2 linked regions of the Elephas maximus indicus genome follow. The protein of the gene in region 2 purifies or fractionates together with the protein of the main gene of each other region. This does not show direct contact. Links are inferred from orthologs where the notes say so. Each region holds a gene or a part of one and is shown on either strand. Other genes may lie near its edges. The genes, in order: FMR1 and TDRD3.

Region 1 (8,409 bases), on a different chromosome or scaffold from region 2:
TGAAAAGATATGGCGGAACCTTAAATGCACATTTCTAAGTGAAAGCAGTCAGTCTGAAAAGGCTACATCCTGCATGATTCCAACTCTATGACATTCTGGAAAAGGCAAATCTATAGGGAACAGTAAAAAGATTAGTGGTGGTCAGGGGTTCAGGGAAACGAGGGAAGGATGATAGGTGAAGCACACAGGACTTTCAGGGCAGTGAAAGTGTTCTGTATGATACTAGATACATGACATTATGCATTTTTCAAAACTCTTAAAACTGTACAACACAAAGCGTGAGCCCTCATGTAAACTATGGACTTTAGCAATCATATATCAATATCAGTTTAGCAATAATAACGAACGTGCCACAGGAATGCAAGATGTTAATAACGGGAAACTGTGGGTGTGTGGGGGGGGGTGTGGGAGTATATGGGAATTCTCTGTACCATCTGCTCAATTTTTCTCTAAATCTAAAACTGTTCTAAAAATAAATCTATTAATGAATATTTTTTCCTAATATCTAGTTCAAAGGAGAGGTGAAGATGAGGCAAAATTGTCAGAACAGTGTCAGTAAAGAGGTGAGACTTTCGAAGGGCCCTGAAGGGTACATAGTCCTTCTAGAGTTGGAAAGGGCAGAGGGCATTTCCCTCTGGGATTACAGCAGGAACAAAGACTCCATGGCTTGAATTGCGAAGAAGCAGGAAATAAAACAGAATAAATCAATGCAAAGACAACTAGCAGCAATTTCATGAAAGCTAGGGGCTGAGGCAGAGCCAGAAAAGCTGAAGCATCATTCCAGTATTGAATAAATATAGCCATGGGAGCCGACCCGGCCCAAACCGGTCTGCAACACTCATTCATTCATTCATGCACTCAGTAAATATCTAATATGCACTACTACTGTTCCAGACACCATACTAGGCACTGGGGATGCAGCAGTGAAGAAAACACTGTTTTAACGGAGCTTACATTCTAGTGAGGGGAGACAGACAGGGCCTACTTGGTGTATTCAAGAAACAGCTGGAATGGGGGGGGGTATGGAATGGAAGGGTAGAGGGTGCCATAGAGGAAATAACAGAGGTCAGAAGATGTAGAGAACAGAGGCCAGAGTAAATAAGAACTTTGCCTTTTACTCTGAGAGATTTAGGGATCATTGGAGGGTTTTTTGCCTTTTACTCTGAGCCATTTAGGGATCACTGGAGGGCTTTGAGTGCCAGAGTGACTTGATGGACACTTGGACAGGGTCACTCTGTCTTCTGTGTTGAGAATAGAGAGACGAGGACAAGAGGAGCTGCAGGGAGACCAGTGAGGAGGTTATTGCAGTAACCCAGGTGAGAGAGATGGGGCTCGGACCAGGGTTTTAGCAGCACAAGTGGTAGGAAGTAGGTTCTGGACTCTGAAAAGATTTGCTGATGGATTTGTAGCTGCAGAGTGTGAGAAAGAGTCCAAAAGGACTCCTTTTTAAGCCTGAGCTACTCACTGGAAGGAGGGGGTTGCCATTAACTGTGTAAGGGGAGAATATGGGAGGAGCAGACTCTGAGGCAGGGCTGAATTCACTTGGGCTATCTTGAAAGAAACTGGTTTTTATCCTGAAAGGGGAAATTTCAAGAGTTAGAGATCAGAGTGAGGCTGAGACACAGAGGCAAGTGGGCAAGGCTAAGTCACAGTACATTTAGGTATAAGCATTCACTCATTCATTGAATATTTATTGGAACCAACCACTTTTAATGTGCCAGAGACACAAAGATAAATAAGACATCTTTCCTGTCCTGAAGAAACTCACAGTCCATTGAGAGAAACAGAAATATAAATAAGCAATTCCAGTACATTTCACCATCACAGTTGAGCTATTCAACATTTCCTGAGTCCCTGCTCTATGCCAAGCAGTGTGAAGAGGAAGCAGGCAGTTTGTACAAAGTTCTACAAGAGTACACAAGAAACTGCCTCCAAAGATTTGTGAAGGTATTCACAAGAGTTCATCACAGTGTGGCACTGGGGAGTTGGCAGCAACCTAAATGCCCGTCACCAGGGAAATGTGTAAGTAAAATCTATGGAATACTCAGCAGCAGGTAGAAGCAACAACCTAGGGGTACACCCAGCAATGTGGAGACAGCTCAAAAACATAGTGTTGAGTGAGAAAAGTGGGAACCAGAGATTTACAGTCCAATAACATTTCTGTAAGTGTAAAGGCATACAGAAAATACTGCGCATCTTAAATTATCAAGTATCATAGCAAACAAATTGCAATGGGTGCCTAGAAGAATGAGAGTGGGGATTGAGGGAGATGAGAAAAAGTAATATAAATAATATAAACACTATAAAATACCTTAAACATGAGAAGGGCCTTGAAGGGACTCATGATGACAATGTGCTGAGAATTGAGGTGCAAAGCAACTTCACTCTCTGCACCTGAGGTAAAATAACTAGCTCACAGAAATCCAGCTAACAGTGCTAAGGGATAGTGCTAAGGGTAAGTATTGCTGGGGGACAGGAAGCATGTGGCTCGAGCAGTAAAGGTGGTTGTGGAGGGCTGATATCTTGAAAGCACTGGGTAACTTGAGCAACACTCTACACATGGAAGGTATAATTATTCTAATCTACTCTGATCCAGTCCAGCCTATGGCGAGAATCTCTATTGGAGTCTTCCCATCTTGTGACTCCTCCAGAGACTCTTCTAGTCCAAGGGGTCATTCCGGTTTACTATGGCCTCAAGGAGTGTGGCCTCTGAGCTGCTGCCTTAGAGCTAGGACTGCACCAGCTCTGATGCTGCTGCTCTGGCTGGGGGTGGGGTGGGAAGGGAACGGGGCCTCAATGATGCCTCTCATTCTGGGGCATCTGTCTGGGGCAGTTCATGCTACTTCCCCCAACTCAGTGCTGCCCATCTGTCAGTTAACTCTGGCCCCTCACATTCCAGCTTGAGTCATTTCCCCTTCGCCAAACACACCTTCCTCTCCCCACACTAGGTCATGTCTCATCATTATTATAGGTGCACTTATTTGATGGCAATGGGTTTGGCTTTTTTGGTTTGGTTATTCTTCATAGCCCTTATCACAGCTGCAACTCTACATTTACTTTTCCGATAATTTATGCCCATCAACGGTAATGTGCTTGACTGATAACCAAAAGGTTGGTGGTTCAAACCCATCCAGAGGTGCCATGGAAGAACCCAAACCAAAACCCACTGCTGTCAAGTCGATTCTGACTCATAGCAACCCTGTAGGACAGAGTAGAACTACTATGGGGTTTCCAAGGAGCGGCTGGTGGATTCCAACTGCCGACCTTTTGGTTAGCAGCCAAGCTCTTAACTACTGTACTACCAGGGCTTCCCATGGAAGGCCTGGAAACTTGCTTCCAAAAGATCACAGCCTTGAAAACTCTATAGAACAGTTCTACTCTGCAAAACATGGGGCTGCCATGAGTTGGAGTCAACTCAATGGTAACTGGTTTGGTTTTTGGTTTTTAGGACTGTAGGTTTCAAGTTCGATGTTGGCCGTTTTGCTTTTGTTTGTTTTTGCTCACTCATGTATTGCCAGCACATGAGTTATTGTTGTTAGGTGCCCTCCAGTCAATTTCGACTTATAGCACCCCATGTGACCAAGCAGACCTGTCCCACAGGGTTTTGACTATAATCTTTACGGGAACAGATCATCAGTTCTTTCTCCTGAAGAGCCGATCCACCAAGTGGGTTTGAGCTGCCGACCTTTTGGGTAGCCCTAGTGCTTAACATTCAACCACCAGAGCTTCCTTGGCACATGGTAAACAAAAAATCAAACCCGTTGAGGTAGAGTTGATTCCGACTCATAGCGACCCTATAGGTGCAGTTGGGCTGCTAATCAAAAGGTCATCAGTTCAAATCCGCCAACCCACCTTGGAAACTCTATGGGGCAGTTCTACTCTGTCTTAGACGGTCGCTACGAGCTTTGGCACATGGTAGGCACTCAATAAACTTTTCAGTTGAATACAAGCACCCCAGACAAGGGGAACACAGGCCCAGGAGGATACAGCATGGTGCAGAGGCAGAGATGAGAAAGATTTGGGTTTTGTTTACCATAGAGAGTAAAGTGAGTTGCAAGGAAATGGGTCGTGCAAGGCCCCTGTAGGCAGATCGCCTGTCTGCTACGCACATGCCCACCTACCCTCTTGGTACAGGGTGGCACACAGTAGGGGCAGATATGAGCTGTAGAGAAATGAACAAGTGCTTAACTTTTTTTTATACTTATGTCAAGTAAAAGTATGAAACTGAATTGACCGAAAGGGAACATGTGGGTTAGTCTCGGGTCTGAGGGAAAGCTAAAATTTCCAGAGATGCCAACACAATCCATTGCCCCTCAAGGGACTTGGGATGTATCTCCTACTCTGCCTAGAATGTCATGGTGTGGGTGGGCGCTCTTCTCCCTGTCTGCCTCTAAGGGTCACATTAGCCTGGATGAACTGGTTGTTACTGTTACTAAAGTCTCCTCCAATCTAATTCACCTTTATCCTTGTCTCCCACTCCACCTCCAGCTCAATAAGCCTTTGCTCCGCTTTAAAAAAACAACAACAACAAAAAAAATAAACCACCACCTCCCACCCTGAGCAGCCTGGCCTCAGATGACTGAATGCAGGCGATCGCTACGGGAGGCCCTTTCCCACGCCTCCTCTCACCCTCTCCAGTGACAGGCTCCCTGGTCATCGCTGGGCTTTGCGAAGCGACGCGACCCGTCACTGCCCTTCCCGCCTTCCCGCGCTGGGCCATCCCCCGCACACGCCGAGCCCGCGCGCCCGTCGTCGGGCCTGGCGCCCCAGCCGGTTCCCCACAGCGCGCATGCGCGCGCTCCAGAGGCCGCGGGGAAGGGAAGGGCGGGGCCGAGGGGCCGAGCCGGCGGGGGGAGGGGCGGCGCGGGTCACGTGACGCGGCTTCAGTGTTTACACGCGGAGCGGCCCGGCGTTCAGCGTTCGGCCTCAGTCAGGCGCTCCGCTCCGTTTCGGTTTCACTTCCGGTGAGGGGCCGCCTTGGAGCGGGCAGCGAGCCGACGGCGAGCGCAGGCGGTGGCGGTGACGGCGGCGCCGCTGCCGGGGGGCGTGCGGGAGCGCGGCGGCGGCGGCGGCGGCTGGGCCTCGAGCGCCTGCAGCCCACCTCCCGGGGGCGGGCTCCCGGCGCGAGCAGGGGCGACGAGAAGATGGAGGAGCTGGTGGTGGAGGTGCGAGGCTCCAATGGCGCTTTCTACAAGGTACTCGGCTCTGGGCAGGCCCCATCTCTTCCCTTCCTTCCCTCGCTTTTCTTCGCGGCCTCGGCGGGAGGCAGGCCTGGGGCCGGGCCGGCGCGCTCGGCTGGAGGTGTGGGGAAGGACGGGCGCCGGGCCTTCGGGAAGCCCCCCGAGCCTTCGAGAGCCCCCGGCGCCCGTGGGGAGGAGACACGGGCGAGGAGAAGGGGCGCCCACCCCGGCCAAGCCCCGGCGCGGCAGGCTGGGGATGGGCGAGGGCGGCGGCAGGTAGAGCCAGGCGGGAAGGGCCGGAATCGGCGCGCGGGGACGGCGACAGCCGCTTCCTCCGTCCCCTTGCTCCGTCGCCCAGCTCCCCGCCCGTGGGCTCCGGCCTGACGTGGGGGAGCTGCGGAGGAGCGGGGGGCGCCTTCGGCGGGCCGCCGCCTGTCCGGCCCAGAGGTTTTCAGGTCCCCTTTGGCGTCGCCTTCTGGTCCAGGATTGGGACTTCGAAGAGCGCCGCTGTTCTGGGCGAGGTGTGAAGACAGAGTAGTAAGAAGTGGTCGTCAGTCCCAAATCACGGTGGTAACTGGGTTTACTGCTCTCTCTCTTTGTGCATTTTTACAAGAGCCTCCAAAGTTCCAGAAAGAGCCTAACATATCTGGGCAATCGGTGCATTAAAGAAGTTGGTAATTCTTCTCCTTCGGCCCCCCTCCCTTTTTTTAACGTGGGTAAATTCTGGAATACAGCATCTAAAAAACATTAGCAACTCTACTACTCACTTTAAAATTTTTTTTCGTTTTTTTTAAACTCCCCAAAGACCTGAATATATGCCTCATGAAACTTGAGAAAATTAATTGGGACTGTCTTATTACTGAGGAATTTTAAGAACGGAGTGTTTGGAAATGTTTGCTTTGTGCTCTAAGTATAGGTATTTGCCTCTCTTCTCTTTGGATGTGTAATGTTGCAGAGGACTGTGTTGTAGGGGTTTTGAATAGGCATTAATAGTCCTACTGTGGGTTTTTATTTTTGAAGTTACATCATTGCACATCAACAAATATCTTACATTTGAGAAAAACAGAATTAAAAGCAATGTTTTGGTGGATCAGTAGGGGGTTTGTTAGTTCATATTTACTACAGTAATCTATGAATTTTTGTTTCCTCTTCAATGTCTGTATAACTTCTGTAAGTAAGATCCCACCTTACTAGAGTATTTTGTCAACAGAAGGTGCACATGGAAGGAAGCATGGAAAATAGCTATGGCCATTGTCCAACACAATTGTTAAAGTATTACGGAGTAACTAACGTTTCAAAGGGACATGTTTGGCTATAAGAAAAGCAATCATTGACTCAACTACTTAACAGACTATAAGCTTACCAATTTTATCGCAACATTTGGGGATGAGTATGTTTCATAAAAGACTAAAGAATGTAAATTGTTCCACTAAGAATGATAAAACCTTTTGCTGTACAAGGAAGTGAAAATTAACTCAGCATTTTTTATTCTTCACCGTCTCACCAATATAAAATTGTTAACAGTTGATTCTGCAGTCAAAATTGTGGATGCATTTATTTCAGCAATTCATAATTTCTAATGGTTTGTGTAGAATAGTTCTGGTTCTTAGATTTGTAGTTTTAGTCACTATTTTTGTGGATCTAACTATAGTATACATGACCAGGTACTAATGGTTGAGCAGTATTTTAACTGATTTTTTTTTTTTTTATAATATCAGCTTATATTGGACACCACCCTTATGTCTTTTAGGAGAGTTTGCTTGCCATAGAGGGCAAGTAGCACATCCTGGTCTTGAAGGATTTATTGTTCTTTTCCAGCAACACATGATTTGCTCCAGTGATTTTGCTTGCAAACCGATAGGAATATAAGAAATGCCCCCTATCATTGCCATTAAGCTCCCTTTTTGTTTTTGTTTTTTAACCAAGTGGCTTAATTTGAAGGTGACTTAAAAAAAAAAAAAAGAACCAATTGTTCCTTAGCTCTTTGAGAGGAGAAGAGAAGTTGCTGTTATGTTTATTTAATTAAGGTTTCTTTTTAAGAAAATCTCAACTGATCTGTATTGGTGAAAAAAGAGTTTCTGTAATGAAAAAAGTTTAGCTGTTTATTTAGCTCATAATATTGCTGTGAGTTATAAAAGAGCAACAAAGTAAACTGAATTGCTTGTCGTTAATGTCTGGTGGGATGGACATGAAAAATAGGAAATAAGACCAATCAAAAATGAACTGCTGTAGAGAAATATGTTGCATTTATTAAAAAAAAGGAACCTTGTTCATTGAATTGATAAAAAAAAAAAACTAAACAAATGAAATAACTTCTTTATAATTGAACACAGACTTTGATTTGCCTAACAGAGCCACCATATTGCAAAGTACAGTTCTCCATCTTCTGAGCACATGCTCCAAGTTTGCAAATAAAAACTCAGTACTGAGTATATGCTGGTAACAGTTTTATTCTTTCTCTAGAACATAGCTGAAGCTCAGGATTTAGAATTAACCATGAACCCTAAACCCTAAGATTGCAATAGTTCACTTCTACTTTTCCTCTCATGTTTATTCTTAAAAATTTGAAAGTTAGATTAGTAATTATCAGAGCCACTGTTTTTATTGCTTAGATATTTCTTTCACATTGAGTCAGTTACATGTACCACTTATAGAACCTTGCGTTATTTTAAGACGTGAAACACTTTGAATTATAACTCACAAAATCTTTATAAAGCATTTTCTAAATGAATAATGTTGAAATAAGGTCTTTATTCTAGGGACATCTGCCCAAAATAGTGTAGTTTTCTTTGGACTGAGTGTTTCGATGTGTTGAGAATGGTAATGAATTAGCTCCATTTTAGAGGTAGAATGTGCTTCACTCCAGTAGGAATGCACTGACATATCTTCAGATTCCTACGTGTGTGTACTAGTATGAAAATTACTAAAGATGGAGAAATTGTGTCTTGGAAACAAAGATGCAAAACCTTTTAGTTTTCTGCAAATGTAGTGACTGTTAACCTAATTCCTTGTAATCTGGTGAAATTATACTTGCTTGTGTTTTTATGGTTATATTAACACTTTAATATATCTTATATTTTTACGTTTGTTATCTGAGGAGAGAGACTTTTCATTTGGTAAGTATTATTACAGTAGCTAGCAGCTAAATATGATAAAATGAACAACCGAAAAAATTTTAAAATAAGACATTAGTGGTCTAAAATGTCATTTTAGCTACATAGCCTACTAG
Region 2 (8,827 bases):
GCATCTTTTTTCTGGACATTTGGTCTCTATTCTTGGTTCTACCACTTACAACTCAAGCAAATTACTGATGTGCTGTGCTTCAGTTTCCTCATCCACACAACAAGGGAAGTAAACAAAACAATCAATAATTCTATGGAAAACGCCTTTGCAAAAATACAAACACAGCTGCTTGAGTCCCCTAACATGATTCTGTTTAAAGAAAAAAAAAAAAAAATCAAAAGCTTAAAAGCCCTGATCCCTGTTAGTAGAAATATACAATTCCCCTGAAGGGGAATGAATCTCCAAAGACAGAAAACAAAAAATATTGCAATCTAAGCAAATTTAGAGTCAAATCAATCCGTGAAGCTATTCCATGCATATAATTGAGTATTACAAACAACTAAGGTACCGTTTAGTGCATTATTTAAGCATTTCCACTATACTGTAAGAGCTCCCGAAAGTTTAAATGTTCAAATCACCAAAACCAAATGTTTTGTGTGGTACTGGCCACTAAAAAAAAAAAAAAAAAATTACTGTACAGTTTGTAGGGTGGCTGCCTTTAAAATACTGATTGTTGTAGTTTTTTTTTTTAAAGACAGAAAGCAGTACTCAAGGAATAATGTAAACCTGAATGATGCACTCATCTATATAGACCATCTGTACGTACCCCTTGAAGATCTCATTTTCAGAAACATAAGCTTTTCAGCACTAAATATTCTACTAATCTACCATTTTAGGTGAAGCTGTTGGAACAGATTTTATTATAGTTTAGGAGCGTTCACCTCTATTTCTTTACAGGTCCTACAAGTAATTGTTCTTTGTTGCTAGTTGCCATGGAGTGGATTGCAATTCACGGTGACCCCATGTGTGCAGAACACAACTGCTCTGTAGGGTTTTCAAGGCTGTGACCTTTCAGAAGCAGGTCACCAGGCCTGTCTTCCTAGGCAGCTCTCCAACCGTTCACCTAGTGACAGAGCACTTAAGCATAATTAAGTACAAAGAAAACCTGAGTCCTAAGAAAAATGGCTTTGTCAGTGACAATAATAAAAAACCCCAAAAGTAAGGGGAAACCTGAGATGTTAGACCGGAATGAGTTGGTCAAGAGCTGCTCTCCTGTCAAAAATTCTCCTTCCAGTAGTTCTCTCTGCCTAAACCCTGAGGTTCTATATTTTAACATAACAAGTCTCTACTTAAGATAAAATCTGGCACATGCCACCTGCCAGCACAGGAGATCCTCAAGTCTTTGGCACTCGTCTGCTCAAGACCCATCAGAAATTACATGAAACTCAAATTGCTAAAAAGCCCTTATTAGCCCTAGAGATTACTCCTGCCTCGGAGTCCCTGCTTGTGGAAGCAGCAGCCTGGTGGAAGAAAGAAACATGTAAACAAACGACTTAGAATGCACACTGTCAAATGCTACAATATAGCACCGCTGGCAATATAAAATATAATAAAGCAGATAACGACTCTCTTTAAACCTGGGTAAGAGGTCCTGGCTGGGGAAGTAAAAATGGCAGGGGCATTCCAAGGTCAACTATATGAGACAGCACTGAGAATCTACAATGTAACTTGATCCCTGTAACTACAGATATAAAGAAAAATGAAATACAGTTCCCTGCCCTTAAGAAGCTTAGAATCCAAAAGCAAATCTAGTCTGTACCTGAAACCCGTGTAGTGAGCCTTTCACTAGGAGGCAAGACTGAGCTTGCAAATGAAATCATATGACTAGCTTGAAGAACTAAGGATCAAAACAATGAAGAATGTGGAAAAACTAAAATAAAACAATGAGCCAAGATAATTCGAAACAGCCTAGTGAGCTAAAGAAACTGCAGGTAGAGAACAAAAAATTGAATGTGAGTTTTTAATGCTAGAATTTGTTATGCCATGATGTTCTACCCAAAAACCGCAGAGCAATAATACATAACAGTTAAAAGCAACGGGCCTGGAACCAGGACCCTGCACTCAGCACTCAACTACCAGTTTCTAGCTATGTCATTCTGGACAAGTTACTTAACATCTCTTTGCCTCAGTCTCCTCACCTGTAAAATGGAGTCAACAGCAGTGCCCGTAGATCTGGGAGCTGCTCTAATTTTGCTCTTCAAATACAGGTGTGATTATTTCACTCCACTGATGAAAAACTTTATTCACGAAATCAAGTCCACATCTTTTAGGCATTCGTAACCTCCATAATCTGGTCCCAACCTACCTTTTCTGGTCTTAATCTTTATCGGACAGTCTCCTACTGGATCTAGCTAGCATCTGTTCCACAGACCAATAAGCACTTTCCCTACCTCTGTGCCTTATCTCCTTGAACTCAGCTCTAGAAAGCCTTTTCCTCACCATCTTCCAAAACCCACTTCTCTAGGAAATTAACTCTCCCTGCCCTGTAATTCCACAGCACACTTGCCTGCTCCTCAGAACAGCTTCCAACTATTCCCCCTATTTTGGTGTTTGTCTTTTTAACGCCTCCCTCTTTCATCTTCTTATTAAGGTTGTGAACTTCCAGAGAACAGGGACAAATCTCCTTCATCCTGGTTCCTACCGCTCAGCCCCCACTGTGCCCATTCAGGCCTTGGAAAAGCGCTACTGAATTAAACCGCATGTTTACAGCGGTAATGGCCGCAGTTCCAGAAACTACTTGATTTAGCTTAATTTTCTATTGCTTTCAGATGCTAAAATCTTGACGTGAAACGTTAAAAATCAGAACAACGACGTCTTTTCAAGAAAACTTCTACGGAGCACCCATACGAGTTTACAATGCAGTTATTCTTAGCTTCAGAAGTTGTGTGTGTGCCGCGGAGGGCAGCTCCACACTGGTCTGCACAGGACTTTGAAATAAGCAGGAGAAAGGAGGTGGCTCGGGCGGCAGCACGGCGGTACCCTGGTCTCCCCAAGTTCCCGCGGGCCCGCGGCTCTGCCGCGCTGGTCCCTCTCCCCGCACGTCTCCCCTCCAGCTCTCGCCTCCCTGCTTCCCCCACAGCTACACCCCGGAGAGGCGGCGCGGCAGGTCCTCCTGGCGGCTGGCTCGGCCCTGGGTCGCCGCCCTGCCTGGCCGCGACCCCCGGCCTCCAGCCCGGCCCGTCGCCCGCCGCCCGGGGCCCAGGCCGCCGCCACCGCGGCCCGGAGGGGAACCAGGGTACTCGCCCGGCTCCGCGTGGCGCCGGGGGCGGAGCCGGCCCCAGTGCCCAGGGACAGGCCGGGGGCGGGCGGCGGCCTCCGCCTACCCCGACACGCACCCACCGCCCCCAACCCCAACCCTCCTCGGGGCCCCGGCCCGGGACCGCGGCCTGGCGGCCGGCGGGACTCGCCACTTACCAACCCGCCTGGGACAACGCCGCGCCGGGAACCTCGGCCATGGTAGCTGCTTAGGCCAGGGGTGGTGGGGGGCTGGGTTGGGGGGGGTGCGGGGTGGGGGGAGGGGGCTCCTGCTTGAGACCAAAAATAAAAAAAAAAAAAAAAAGGGAAAGAAAAAAAAAAAAAACTCCTCTGGTCGGCTCTGCAACTGGGCATGCTCAGTGCGGCCGGCGCTTCCGCGTGCGGGTTCCGCTCGCCGCGTTTTCTCAGCGGCCGCAGGGGCGGGTCTGCAGTGGGGCCGGGGAGGCTGCTGGGCGCCTGAGGCTGGGAACGCCTGAAAAAGTGCTGGGAGCGCGGCTCCGAGGCCAGTTTGCCACCCACCAAGGACCGTGGAAGGTTTTGCCCCTCTATCGGAGGCTGGTTTTCTTTACCACTCTTCTGAGTTGCACGCCTTGGAAACTACTGAGGTTCTCTTTGTACAGCGGAAAGTAACATTGATGTTTCCAGCGCCGACAGAGAGTCCCCTCCGGGAGGGCAGGATAACGCTGGAATTGAAAGGAACAGGTCGGTGCGGGGGCAGCGCTGCCACTACCGGGCTAGTAAGGTCGCGTTTCCCACAGTAAAACTCATAGGAAAGGTGTTCCCAGCCTACTCCGCATAGGAGAAAAGTTTAAAGACTCGATTCACTCCGCTTTTCGTCCTGCTGGACGCATAGGAAATAATGCCAGCTCGGGGTTTTTCGATTCTCCACGAGCAGGTCAGGGGGTCCAGGCCGGACACCACAATGAAACTGGTCACCCCCAAGGAAACATGTACGTAGGGGACAGGGGAAATTTGGCAGCTGTGTCAGTGTTTGTCTTTCCTGTCGCACTCTCACGGGGACCGTCCTCATCCCAGCGCGGCCCCACGACCGTGGCACGGACATCGTCAATTCCGACTCCCACCCCGCTTCGCCCGTGCCCTTCTTGGGCGCTCAGACGGGCGAAAGCGCAGGAGCGGGTCCCCGAGCGAGCATGCGCGACGGCTGCGCCGAGCAGCGCGAGGACGCTTCTGCGCGATTGGGCAGCCGCGACGCACGCCAGCCAATCAGGGAAGGCGATAGGGGCCGCGGGCCCGCTCGCCTAAAAGTTTGCCCCACCCTCGCGGTCTGTCACTGCTGCAGCGCCTCAGGGAAAAAAGGCGCTTTTTAATGGCGCTGTCCCCATTAAAATGCCAAGTCCTGGAGAGAGACTGTTAGGAACTTAAACTTTATCTCCGCCCCGCGCCACTGCTGCGTCATTAGAGGCTGCCTCATTTGAAGCCATCATCACAAACTTGGACAGAGACTGCGGAACTGGGCAGAGCCTCTCCCTGGAGCTGGGGAGGAAAATGGCTGTTACAGAAGGAGGGGGATGATGGCGAGGGTGGAGCGAAAACTGCATAATTCAAATTTTTCTCGTTTTAACTGAGCTATTCCTTTCGGTTTTATTCCTTTTGAAAGGAGCCCTAGTGGTGCAATGGTTAAAGCGCGCGGCTGCTAACCCAAAGGTCAGCGGTAGGAACCACCAGCCAGGGGGAGAAAAATGTGGCAGTTTACAGCCCTGAAATCCCTGTAAGGCGGTTCTGCTCTGTCTTTAGGGTCACGATGAGTCAGAATTGACTGGATGGCAGTGGGTTTGGTTTTTGGTTTATATCTGTTGGGCTTCTCCAAAAATCGTAGTTCTAAAAACACGATATCTTGCGTAGATCTAATGCTAATAAATGTTTCCAAACATTGCTTAGATACTAATTTTAAGGAAACGTGTTTGTCAGCACGTTTAGAATCAAATAACTCCATTCTCTTCTCTACAACTCGCAGTAGTTTAAAGTGTTTATATTATGCATTTGCTATAAGTATAATTTTTTTATAAGTATATTTCAATTTCTGGGCACTAGTCATATCCAGGAGCAAGATTTGCCATTTTGAAACGTGAGTTTGTTGTTTGTTAGTTACTGTTAAGTGGATTCCGACTCATGGCGACACCATGTGTGCAGAGTAGAACTGCTCCTTGGGATTTTTAAGGCTGTGATCTTTCAGAAGCAGATCACCATCTTCTGGGGCACTTCTGGTGGGTTCAAACAGCCAGCGTTTTGGCTACTAGTTGCCTGCTTAACCGTTTGTGCCCCCCAGGAACTCCTTTAAAGGTAAATGAGTCAAATTGCTGGTTACTTTTTATTGTTGGTCAGAGAGAATCTCCTCTTAACAATTATTTACATTTTGCAATTAGTGTAACTTGTTATCTGTGAAAATATGTTGTTCCAGTCAGCAGAATTACTCAGTGGTTAAATGTGAAGCTTTTACACATTTGCTCTCCTGTGCAATATAATACGATAGAAATTTACCATCTTTACATGGTGTTTATAATAATTTTAACAAAATGCTCCTCAAAATACTAACTTCCCTTACTTAAAGAAATGCTTTAAAGGATGGGTCGAGTGCTCCCACCTGCGAAATTTGGGACGGTATGGTAATTAAAAAAGAATAGTTAGAAGATTTGATTGTAACACATTGAATTTAAAAAAATGCATACGTTCACAACGCAACTGGAATAAATAAAAGCGAGGAAGGAATGAAAGTGTTTGTTTACAGAAGAATACCAACTAATGTTTTACATTCCAGATATAATATATTCAAGCAAAGTTCATCAATGGAGGCTAAGAGCCACTGGGTGAAAGATTGTAGGAATACCAGATCTTCACATGGTCTCAAAGTATCAAGCCATAAATTACTTATTACAAAAGGGAAAATGTACCTTTAAAAAAACCCTATCTGAAACAAGTGACCAAAGTTAGCATCACTAATACTGGAAAAATCTTATGTGCTTCCTCATGTAATGAATTAGAAGACCATAACATCTAAGAGATACTCTTGCCAAAATGATTTAGCCTGAATTTAAGCAAGCTTCTTTTAAACATCAGTTCTCAATCAGAGGTCCCATTCTGCCCCCTCTCCGCAGGGGGCATTTGGAGACATTTTTGATTGCCAGAACCTGAGGATGGGGAAGACGGGGGCAACTGGCATCCAGTGGTTAGAGACTAGGGATATTGCTAAATATCCAACAATGCACAAAAGCCCCCACCCGCAACATCCAACAAAGAATTTTCTGGCCCAAAATGTCAGTAATGCCAAGGTCAACCTCTAGATCTAAACCCTGCTCTAGACCCAAACACAAATTTAGGGGACATATAAAGGATATTGGAAGGAATTACACATGGAGAGACGTAAATCCCAAACGTGCCATGTTCTGCAAGAAACGTGGCCTGGACTCTTCAAAAGAGCCACTGTAATTAAAAAACAAAATGCAATAAGCTAGCCTTTATTGGATACTGGTCTAAGAAAAAATATATATATATAAAAAGGTATTTTGGGACCAATTAGAGAAATTTAAAGATAGAGTGGATACTAATTAGTATAATAATGGTTTTCTCAGATGTGATAATAGTATTGTCTTTAATCTTGGGAATTTATGCCAAAGCATTCACGGCTGAAGAGTTGTAGTGTGTACAACTTGTTTTCAAATGATTCAGCAAAAAATAATATATGTATAATATATAAAATATATACATATACAGTATATGTATAACATTTAAAATATATAAAATAATACGTATAATACATAAAATATGAAACAATATGTATAATATCTATAACAAAATAAGAGAGAAAGAAGGTAAACATGGCAAAATATTAACAATGGGTAAATGTAATTTAACGGCCCGGGTACCTACTGTATTTTTTTTTTTTAACTTTTCTATGGGTTTAATTTTTTCAGACTAGAAAGAAAAAATATAGATTATACTCACTTCCTTCACACCTAAATTTTTAAATTGAAGTTATGTTCTATAGATAGGGAACCCCTGGTGGTACAGTGGTTAAGCACTTGGCTGCTAACCAAAAGGTCAGCAGTTTGAACCCACCAGCTGCTCCTCGGGAGGAAGATGTGACAGTCTGTGTCCTTTAAGATTTACAGCATAGGAAACCCTATGGCGCAATTCCACCCTGTCGTATAGGTTTGCTATGACTTGGAATCGACTCAGCGGCAATGGATTTGGTTTGGTTTTTCTGTAGATAAGTTATTGCCAGGAAGTATGATTATAGCTGGCTAGACAGAAAAAAAAAATGGTTTTCCATTTTTAGTAAGATCACTAATTCACATATAATGGAAAGTCCACAATGAGCTGAAAGTTGGAAGAAATCCTAAGGATGACAAAAACTTTGTTAGGTATAAGCAGACAAAAAGGAGTTAAATCTGTTCAGTGAATTATGTAAAATAACAGAAAAAAAGATAGATTGAGAATCCATTCACCCTCTGTTTTACCTCTGTCGTATCAATGAAGGAAAATGTTCTCAGACTGAAAAGGAAAGAATGTGGATAAGTAGGAAAAGATACCAGAATAAAAAATGAGATTATAAATGCGCCTAGCCCCTCTGATGTACTTGAAATCTTTTGACCCTAAACCAGTTACGTCATGTTGTATGCCACCAAGTTAATTCGGACTCACAGTGACCATGTATGACCCCATGGGGTTTCCAAGACTGTAATTTTTATGGGAGCAGGACGCCAGGTCTTTTCTCTCACAGAGCCATTGGTGGATTCAAACTGCCAACCTTTCGGTTAGCAGCTGAGCATTTAACCATTGCACCACCAGGGCTCCTTAGTTACATCATAGGGAATACTGCAATAACCTGTGATGGACTTAGATGAACCACTTCCCAGGAGCCTTGAAAAACTGCTAAGTTCTTCAGGAAATGTGCTAGAAGTCTGAAAACTGGCAAAAAAAAAAAAAAAATCAGTTTTAAAAAAGAATCTTTTCAATGAATGATGGAAACATCTCAGTCTCTATTCAAAAGAATAACTTTGAACTCCTTCTTCATATGAAAAATTAACCCAAAATGGATCACATACCTAAATAAAAAAGCTAGAAGGAATTACAGGAGTATATCTTCATGACCATGGGTTAGACCATAGATATAACGCATACACACACAAAATTCATTGCTGTCAAGTCGATTGATGGCAACCCAATGTATTTCAGAGTGGAGCTGCACTCCGGAGGGTTTCCAATGGCTGTGATCTTTTGGAAGTAGATCTCCAAGCCTTTCTTCTGAGGTGCCTCTGGGTGGATTCCAACCACCCTTTTGGTTAGTACCCATGCGCTTAACCATTTACACTACGCAGGGACTCTGTAACATCCAAAGCATTAAGAAAAAAAATAGATAAATTGGAATTTATCAAAATTTAAAATTTCTGTGCTTCAGAGGATACCATCAAGAAAGTGAAAAGTCAATCCATAGAATGGGAGAGAAAAGGATCTTGTATCCAGAACATACGGAGAACTCTTATAATTCAATAAGAAGAAGTCAGATAACCCAAAGATACAATTTCACAACCACTAGGATGGCAACACAATAGCAAGTGTTGGTGAAGATGTGGAGAAATTGGAATTGTTGGGAGAATGTAAAATAGTGCAGCCACCATGAAAACAACTTGGCCAAGCCTCAAAAGGTTAAATGTAGAGTTTCCATATGACCCAG

Evidence for each region.
Region 1: the proteins of TDRD3 (region 2) and FMR1 purify together in Homo sapiens (affinity purification with mass spectrometry; 4 studies listed by BioGRID and IntAct, with this or other methods). This does not show direct contact. The link is inferred for Elephas maximus indicus from reciprocal best matches to the Homo sapiens genes TDRD3 and FMR1.

Annotation. Positions count from the first base shown.
Region 1 is NC_064846.1:8,486,710-8,495,118, reverse strand, and holds the start of FMR1 (fragile X messenger ribonucleoprotein 1), read left to right. Parts: upstream 1-4,894; 5' UTR 4,895-5,144; coding exon 5,145-5,195; intron 5,196-8,409.
Region 2 is NC_064832.1:49,987,627-49,996,453, reverse strand, and holds the start of TDRD3 (tudor domain-containing protein 3), read right to left. Parts: upstream 3,372-8,827; 5' UTR 3,336-3,371; coding exon 3,295-3,335; intron 1-3,294. UniProt on the Homo sapiens protein: Scaffolding protein that specifically recognizes and binds dimethylarginine-containing proteins. Plays a role in the regulation of translation of target mRNAs by binding Arg/Gly-rich motifs (GAR) in dimethylarginine-containing proteins.